Kluyveromyces lactis: one gene and its partners. The main gene of each other region encodes a partner of the protein of the gene in region 2 in a complex. Links are inferred from orthologs where the notes say so. Each region holds a gene or a part of one and is shown on either strand. Other genes may lie near its edges. The genes, in order: RPA34, RPC10 and RPB4.

Region 1 (2,557 bases), on a different chromosome or scaffold from region 2:
CAGTACGTATCCATTTACGATGTGCATTCTGCGGAGGAATTGCTACAACTATTAAGATCACAGGCGACGTTCAAGGGTATATCATGTAAAGAGTTAAAAGATGGTTGGCCACAATGTTTTGATACAATCGACGAGTTAGAAGCAAAGAACAGAATCCTTGTTCTTCGGACAAAGAAGGATAATTCTCCAAGGTTTGTCTGGTATAACCATGCTGGTCCATCAAGGCAAATCGATGAAGAGTTCGTTACGATGTGGGAAGCTTGTAAGCTACCTCAGCGTAGTGAATTACCAAGAAAACTACAAGATTTGGGTCTCAAGCCTGCTAGTGTGGATCCTGCTACGATCAAGAATGAGCAAACCACAAGGAAAGAGGTCAAGAAACGTAGATCAAGAAAGGGTAAAGTTACCAATACACATATGGCTGGTATATTGAGAGATTATTCCGATAGGGTATGAAGATACCTACTTTTTATAATGAACGTATTCTACATATAACCCAAATTAAAATATGACCAGTGCGTTATATATAAATAATATACAGAAAGACCAGAACGAGTGCTCTAGTCGTGCTTTCTCTTTTTTTTGCTAACTTTCTTCAAATCTTTATCCTCGTAATACCCAGTTGCGAAATGTCTAGTCTTGAGACCCTTAACCTTCAACACATCCTTTCTATCCACTCTTACCTTAGAATAATCAATGCTTGGAATCTTTGCAGTTTCGCTTATGGTAAAGATCTTATCAAATGATCTTGATGCAGATGAATCGACGGTCAACTTTGTCTTATCTACAGGAGTCAATAATGTCAATTCAGAAGAAGAAGATGCACCAGAAGTGGAATTTTCTTGTTGGATTTCCTCCTTCACAGAGAAATGTTTACCTTTTTGTTCGATGCCAGTTTCCGACTCCGCTGTGAAATCAATAGGTAATTTCGAAAGCTTAGAGACATCTAAAGATTTAGGAAGTTTGATAAGCCAAAGTTCTTTTTGCTTCAAGTTCTTAGGCTTCACGAATGATTTCAAATGTGTACATTTCTTATAGTTTTCAGGTGGAACGAAAACGTCCGTTACAGTTTCTGATGATCCATCATTATCGCTGTCGCTATCACTGATGTATTCCTTTGAAAGAGTTTTGTCGACCTTGGCCATTGTTTGAGATATTTCTTATAACGTTTTGCGAGTGGAATAATATTACAGGGAAGGGTGTAACAAAAACTCACCTGAACTAGTTAAACTGTAATTGGAACCCTAGGACCACACAGAACCTCACTTATCTGCCTCTGTGTGTCTATTTGAATCTGCAATGAGATGAGATGAGCTTAAACCGAATTTTTTCATCTTGGGAAAGACTTTTCTTTCTTTTTAGACGTTACCCGGGAAAATGCACGTGGTTAACACGTGGAACAAACTATCGTATTCATGAAATCTGTTCCAGTTCATCACAAACCATCGAGAAATGGTATGTCCGACTTGAACAGCCTTCGAGCAACATTTATTGGATCACTAATACTATGATTCCCGTTGAATGGTATGACATCGATGCCCTAAGTACTTGGTTTACTGTATTATCATGTCGAACGACGCAATTATTCCAAAAATTTTTTCCATGCTTCTTCGACACGAAGAATATAAAAAGGCTGGTAATGAGAAACAAACTAGACATGTTAAACTCATCAAACCATTTATCCAGGTTAGGTATTGAAAAGTTCTGTAGGTTGTTCTCTAGCCTCACTTGCTGTTGGCAAGTGAGCTTTATAGTATCCTTGATGGAGCAGTGTTTCACAGCCGTGAAACACTGATTCGTCTATGTTACGCTTGGAAAAGAGACCTTTTCCATGAAGAAATAAACGTAAAAGTTTGCATATACGTGGGATTCATTATTACTTCATACCTTACGAAAGAACTTCAAAACATTTAACGATGATGAAAACGGTCTACACTTCTTTCCCAGTCCGATATCGACCATGACGATATGGGAGTCTACCATGTTGTTGTCTTACGGGGCAACGACTTTTTAAGCCAGTACATGCTTTGACATGTACAATTTAGATCATCTGAGTTTTCTCTTTTTAGTTTTCTTAAGGTCAAAGTAACAGTGAAACAAGATCCATCGTCGTATCTTCTGTTGCATTTATTTCTTCAAAACGTTTCACTTCTTCTTTTTAGCTAAGAACATGATTGTGCGTTATGGATTTTAACATTTTTTTATATGATGAAAATTGGTTCCTTTACATTCGCAGTTTCCACGGTAGGAGTACGCCTACGAACCCATCGTTAGTACTCTTCAGTGACCGCTCTTTATTGAGACCTTCCTAGGATGTCTGATCTTTTTATATGTTATTATCCATTTCCATTTTCAATCCTGTTATCATCGCAGAACCTGTAGAACTGTCAATCTTTCTTGCTTTGTCTTATGTATCTAAAAGGCTTAATTATACTAATTACAAAACGCCAAATGGTCTAGGCGTCCACTCGGTGACTTCTTGCCAGTTGGAGATGGGGGCATTGCTTTGTTTGATCTTTTTGAACTGATTTTTCAATTCATTCAAGTCTTTCAATAT
Region 2 (2,196 bases):
TAGAGAGAAACAGAAAGATGTAACTGGGGTATACAAAGAACCTAAGATACAGCTTTTTGACCTCGCAAAAGACTTCAATTCTATCAAAAAAAAGCACTGATCCTTTGTTGTGTTTGAGGAGAGAAACGTTCAATTAAACACCAAAATCAACAAACAAGATAATACACGCAAAAGCAGATATTGGCACCGTTCAAAGCACCCACTCTCTCTTCACTAATCACACCAAACAGTTGCCTATCAAGCCTTAGCTCAAATGGTCCACAAAACGTCCGTCAAACTTCGTCTTTTCAGTTTGGAAGTGGATATATGCAAATCTAACGGTGACGTTATTCTTTGATTTTAAAATTAGATGGTGAAGCTGCCCAAAATCATAAAGTTTTCTCAGAGATTTTCCATCACATAAAGAAAAAGGAATTTTGCGCAGTGTGATTAGCCGGTATAACCCCAGCTGACTTCGGACATCCGTCTGTCGACTAGCGATGCCCATGTAGTCGTGTTTCAATTGAGAAACGTTTAAATGTCAACGTTTATTAATGTACATACAGGAAAGATGCTGTAATACATATATAGTTTATATGCATATAGTTTATGTGATGGAATGGGAACAGGTTTACCTGGCTTCGAACTGGACCATTCTCTTGGTTCTGGCCTTGAGTAGGATACGGTGACCGCAATTCTTGCAACGGACGGGATCAGTTCTGGAAAGCGAAAGTCTGCTTGAACACTCTGCGCAGATGTATTTCAAAGTGGCAGTTCTGCTCTGAGCTGCACCAGCAGCAGCAGCATCTAAATTCGTTGGGATTTGGAAACCTTCACGGGACATCTTGACACTTACTCTTAAACTATTGGGGCCACAAACGCACTCACTGACTCGACTATCGGAGGATAACTCTCGTATCCGAGACAGTATGTTTCAGTCAAAGCTTCTGATTCCTATGATGAGCTTGTCAATTCAAATTTCTTACTAAGGTCAGAAGAATTTCTTTTGGAAATACACGGTAGGGTAATACTTAAAGGATGCATAGAAATACACACACATTTATATAGACACGAATGAACGTATGTATGTATGTAGTACGAGATTTCCAGGTTACGACCTTCCTACCCAAAATTGGCCATTGGCCCCCATATCTACGTTTTTCCTTATTTGACGGGATAATATTACACCTGTATCGTAACGTTGTTTGTTTTTCTTGTCGAGGTATTCTTGCAATTTTTCGATGGCAGTGATCAGTTTGCGTCTGTCTTCGAGCGTTAAGGTACTTTCGTTTTTAAATTTGTGGAGGTAATCGATTTCTTTTTGTAGTTTGGTACATTTGACCGAGAGTGAGTTGTAATTTTGCTGTAATTGTTCAAAGTTTATGTCTGAAATATCTGAGGAAGTGCTTGAGACCCTAGAGCTGTTTCTCGATGCGTTACGGGAGCTTGGTTGGCTACCAACATGTACTACGCGGAACGGGTTGCTCTTCGGCGTGAGTATACGTGGTGAAGTAGGTATGTTGCTTGAGTCAGTGTTTGGTGCACGAGGGACGGTTCCGTTCTGAGTATGGCCGATTGCTGCAGGAGCAGGGTATGTACTTGATTTATCAGTGTTAGGTACAATCGTAGCTGCTGCTGCTGCTTCATCCTCTTCTGTGCTGGTGGAGACTTCGATCTTCTCAGAAGGTATTCTCTTCGCTGGAACAGAGGTTACGGAAACAGCGGGAATAGCTTTCTCAGCAGTTGGTTCAGTTTGTACTTCTGCCACCACTTCTGCCACTACTGCTGCCTCTAATTGAGTACCTGGTTTCTCCTCTTTTATGTCTTCTCGCTCTTCCGCTTGTAGTGCCGTCTCTCTGCCACTACTTAGTGTTTCCGGTACCTCGTCCTCCCCATCGCTTTTAATAGCATTCTGCACAAATTGATCAACCTGGTTCGCCGTTAGCTTCTGCAACTCTAAGTAATCCTCATCTTGATCGTCAGAAGAAACATCCTGTTTCGTCTTAACCGTGGTCTCATGAATGCTCAAGTTCTTATCTATCATCTCGTTCATCTCACTTATCTCTAACTCAATTTGAGACATTCGTTTCTTTACCTGCTCTGAATCCATAATTGAAAAAAATAGGACGCCACTATCAACAATGTGACACTTTTATTCTGCCACTGATACGCTTCAACTCGTCAACTACTAGTACAAACGCCTTTTATTAACACATA
Region 3 (2,535 bases), on a different chromosome or scaffold from region 2:
ATGCTGTTGAGGAATTCATGGATACTTATCCAGAAATTCTACATCCTAACAACAGTCTAAGCTTTTTGACGGATACCACGATGGTGGGACGTTTTTTCCCTGTTGTTGATTCGAATACAGACTATAATCTATGTCATTTCTGGTCCAATTTCGAAATTGGAGATCTAAATTTCTTTAGAAGTGACGAGTATCTTCAGTATTTCAATTACTTGGACTCCAAGGGTGGGTTTTATTATGAACGTTGGGGTGATGCACCCGTGCACAGTATAGGTGCCTCATTACTTCTAGACAAGAATGAAATCCACCACTTTGATGAAATTGGATACAGCCATGTTCCATTTGAAACATGTCCCACGTCCATATCAGCACGATTAGTGCTCCGTTGTATGTGTGATCCTAACGGCGAATCTAATATTCCCATCCACCCAAACAGTTGCTTGATGAGATGGTGGAAAAACGGTGCCGGCAAACTATTTATTAGATGATGGAGCAGAGGTGAAACCGGGGATATATATAAGATATAGTACATAGGTTTTAGTATAAAGTTTCCAAATTCGATAATTCCTTTAGGATTCTTTCTAGATCTTCGTCAGATATCTTGGTTCCTAAACTTGGAATTAGAGTCTTGGCTTCATCTGCATCTTCGCACGATAGAGAACCCAATTGCGCCACTTCGAATGGATGCAACCCTGTGGATGATAAAAGCTGTGATACAGCGGTTACTGTTTCCTGATCACGGAAACGTGAAAAATTCGTTAGGTATATCATGGTCTGCTTCAACGCTTGATTCTGTCCACCAGTGGTCTGTTCAAGCAATCTATCTATATCCTGTAACTCTTTCTCCTGTGTTTGGGTATGCACATTGACGTTATCTTCATCATCCATGTCATCGTCCTTATTTGATGCACCATTGCTTGCCCATGTCTTGAATAATTTCCGACGGTTCTGTAGCGTTTCCTTTATAATCAAACGAGACTCACTCAAATTTAAAGCCACTAGGTTTTCCTCCTGCCCCTGATGGTTGATTTGCTTCAAATTAAACTCTTCTCCCAAGTGTAAAGTGGCAGCATTCTCTTCTTCAACAAACTTCTTCAACCCACGTCTCTTGGTTTGAACAGTGGATGTAGATGTATTCATGGTAAATTCGAGCTGTTATCTATAAGAGCGGTCCAAAAAAGTAGACGAGTGTAATCACAAAAAGTGCTATTCCAGTAATCAGCCACTTTGACAACGGTACAACTTAGATAAATGTAACTCCAGTTGATGTTTCGAGTGACAAAGTTAGTTTACCTCTCGTTTTAATCGTAATTGAATTTCCATTTTTTTTCCTAACGGTAATTATGCGAAAACTCAACATCAGAATATTGGCCCTATGACTTCATGACATGAATGTTCTCTGTATTTAAGGTATTAAAGTGAATCTTGGCAAAGCTGTTTGTTTGTACAGGACACCAGGGCTTATTTTTAGGGCAGCGCTGTATGTACTTGGTACTCATCGTGATTAGGTATAGCCAGATTCGAATTTAGCTGTTTTTTAATATAGGAAGGCGTACATTCTTTAGCTGGTTTTGTTTCTGTTACTGTTTTGCTATAAGTTCTTTAAGCGAAACTCAGGGTTATTCAGTCGATATAACGTTTAAAAGGTATTTCCGTTGAAACTTTGAGTTGTGAATTGGTCATTTCTTTGTTGGAAGAGAGGCTTTTCTAATATTTTGCTGCAATAACGTGGTTAGACGTTGACTATAATCTGATATATAATAAATGGGGGATAAGAATAGCCTTTGGAACCCTGCGTTCATGGCTTCTCAGCAGGGAGCGTCGAGTTCGAATCAGAACCAGAACTTTTCTCAGACGCAGGCAAATACCCAGAATCAGGGCCCAGAGATTGCGCCTGATGGGCCAGCTGGGAGTAGCTCCAATGCAGGCGGGAATATATATGCAGGGCAGCAACAAGGCGGAAATGCGGCTGGTGGTTTCCAAATGCAGTCGCCACGTCAATCGATATTCAAAAACCCATGGCAAGAGATTCCCCAGATACCTGAGTCTCAGAGGTCTACTATGAGGAAGCAATCCAACTTCCCCTTGCCCACTACTTACGAAGAAGATAACGCTGTAGATGAATCCTCACAACAGTTCAGAAGGAGAAACTCATCTTTAGTAATACCACCTGCGCGTGCGGCAGGGCCTGATCCGTTCCTTTATGAGAAGCAACCGTTTCCCAACTATAATGATGCACAAAGAAGGCAGTCGGTTGCTGTCACTGGTGGCAGTCAACTTTCGCCACAGCAGGTAACGAAACCATCTCAGCTTAGGAAACCTGGAATTAATACTGCGGGATATATGGCTGGCTCCATAAATTCTTCTGTGTATCCCGCTACTGCAGGTGCATACATGAGCACGCGTGGCGGCTCAAGTTCACTTCCGTCGTCAAGGCCACCTTCTCCAATAATTATTGTCCCTAAATTCAACAAGATATTTACGAGACAGGACTTGAATCCCGTTATACATTCCACACCGAAATATAGACGTGCTTCA

The links.
Region 1: RPC10 (region 2) and RPA34 share a complex: the UniProt entries of both Saccharomyces cerevisiae proteins name them as parts of the RNA polymerase I (Pol I) complex. The link is inferred for Kluyveromyces lactis from reciprocal best matches to the Saccharomyces cerevisiae genes RPC10 and RPA34.
Region 3: RPC10 (region 2) and RPB4 share a complex: the UniProt entries of both Saccharomyces cerevisiae proteins name them as parts of the RNA polymerase II (Pol II) complex. The link is inferred for Kluyveromyces lactis from reciprocal best matches to the Saccharomyces cerevisiae genes RPC10 and RPB4.

Annotation. Positions count from the first base shown.
Region 1 is NC_006037.1:552,843-555,399, forward strand, and holds RPA34 (DNA-directed RNA polymerase I subunit RPA34), read right to left. Parts: upstream 1,146-2,557; coding exon 561-1,145; downstream 1-560. Other genes in the region: transcription factor TFIIE subunit TFA2, read left to right, coding at 1-456; rRNA-processing protein LAS1, read right to left, coding at 2,438-2,557. UniProt on the Saccharomyces cerevisiae protein: DNA-dependent RNA polymerases catalyze the transcription of DNA into RNA using the four ribonucleoside triphosphates as substrates. Component of RNA polymerase I (Pol I) which synthesizes ribosomal RNA precursors.
Region 2 is NC_006040.1:683,625-685,820, reverse strand, and holds RPC10 (DNA-directed RNA polymerase core subunit RPC10), read right to left. Parts: upstream 824-2,196; coding exon 611-823; downstream 1-610. Other genes in the region: BNI5 (Bni5p), read right to left, coding at 1,091-2,089. UniProt on the Saccharomyces cerevisiae protein: DNA-dependent RNA polymerases catalyze the transcription of DNA into RNA using the four ribonucleoside triphosphates as substrates.
Region 3 is NC_006037.1:539,784-542,318, forward strand, and holds RPB4 (DNA-directed RNA polymerase II subunit RPB4), read right to left. Parts: upstream 1,138-2,535; coding exon 535-1,137; downstream 1-534. Other genes in the region: KLLA0_A05775g (glycosyltransferase family 15 protein), read left to right, coding at 1-485; serine/threonine protein kinase YAK1, read left to right, coding at 1,762-2,535. UniProt on the Saccharomyces cerevisiae protein: DNA-dependent RNA polymerase catalyzes the transcription of DNA into RNA using the four ribonucleoside triphosphates as substrates. Component of RNA polymerase II which synthesizes mRNA precursors and many functional non-coding RNAs.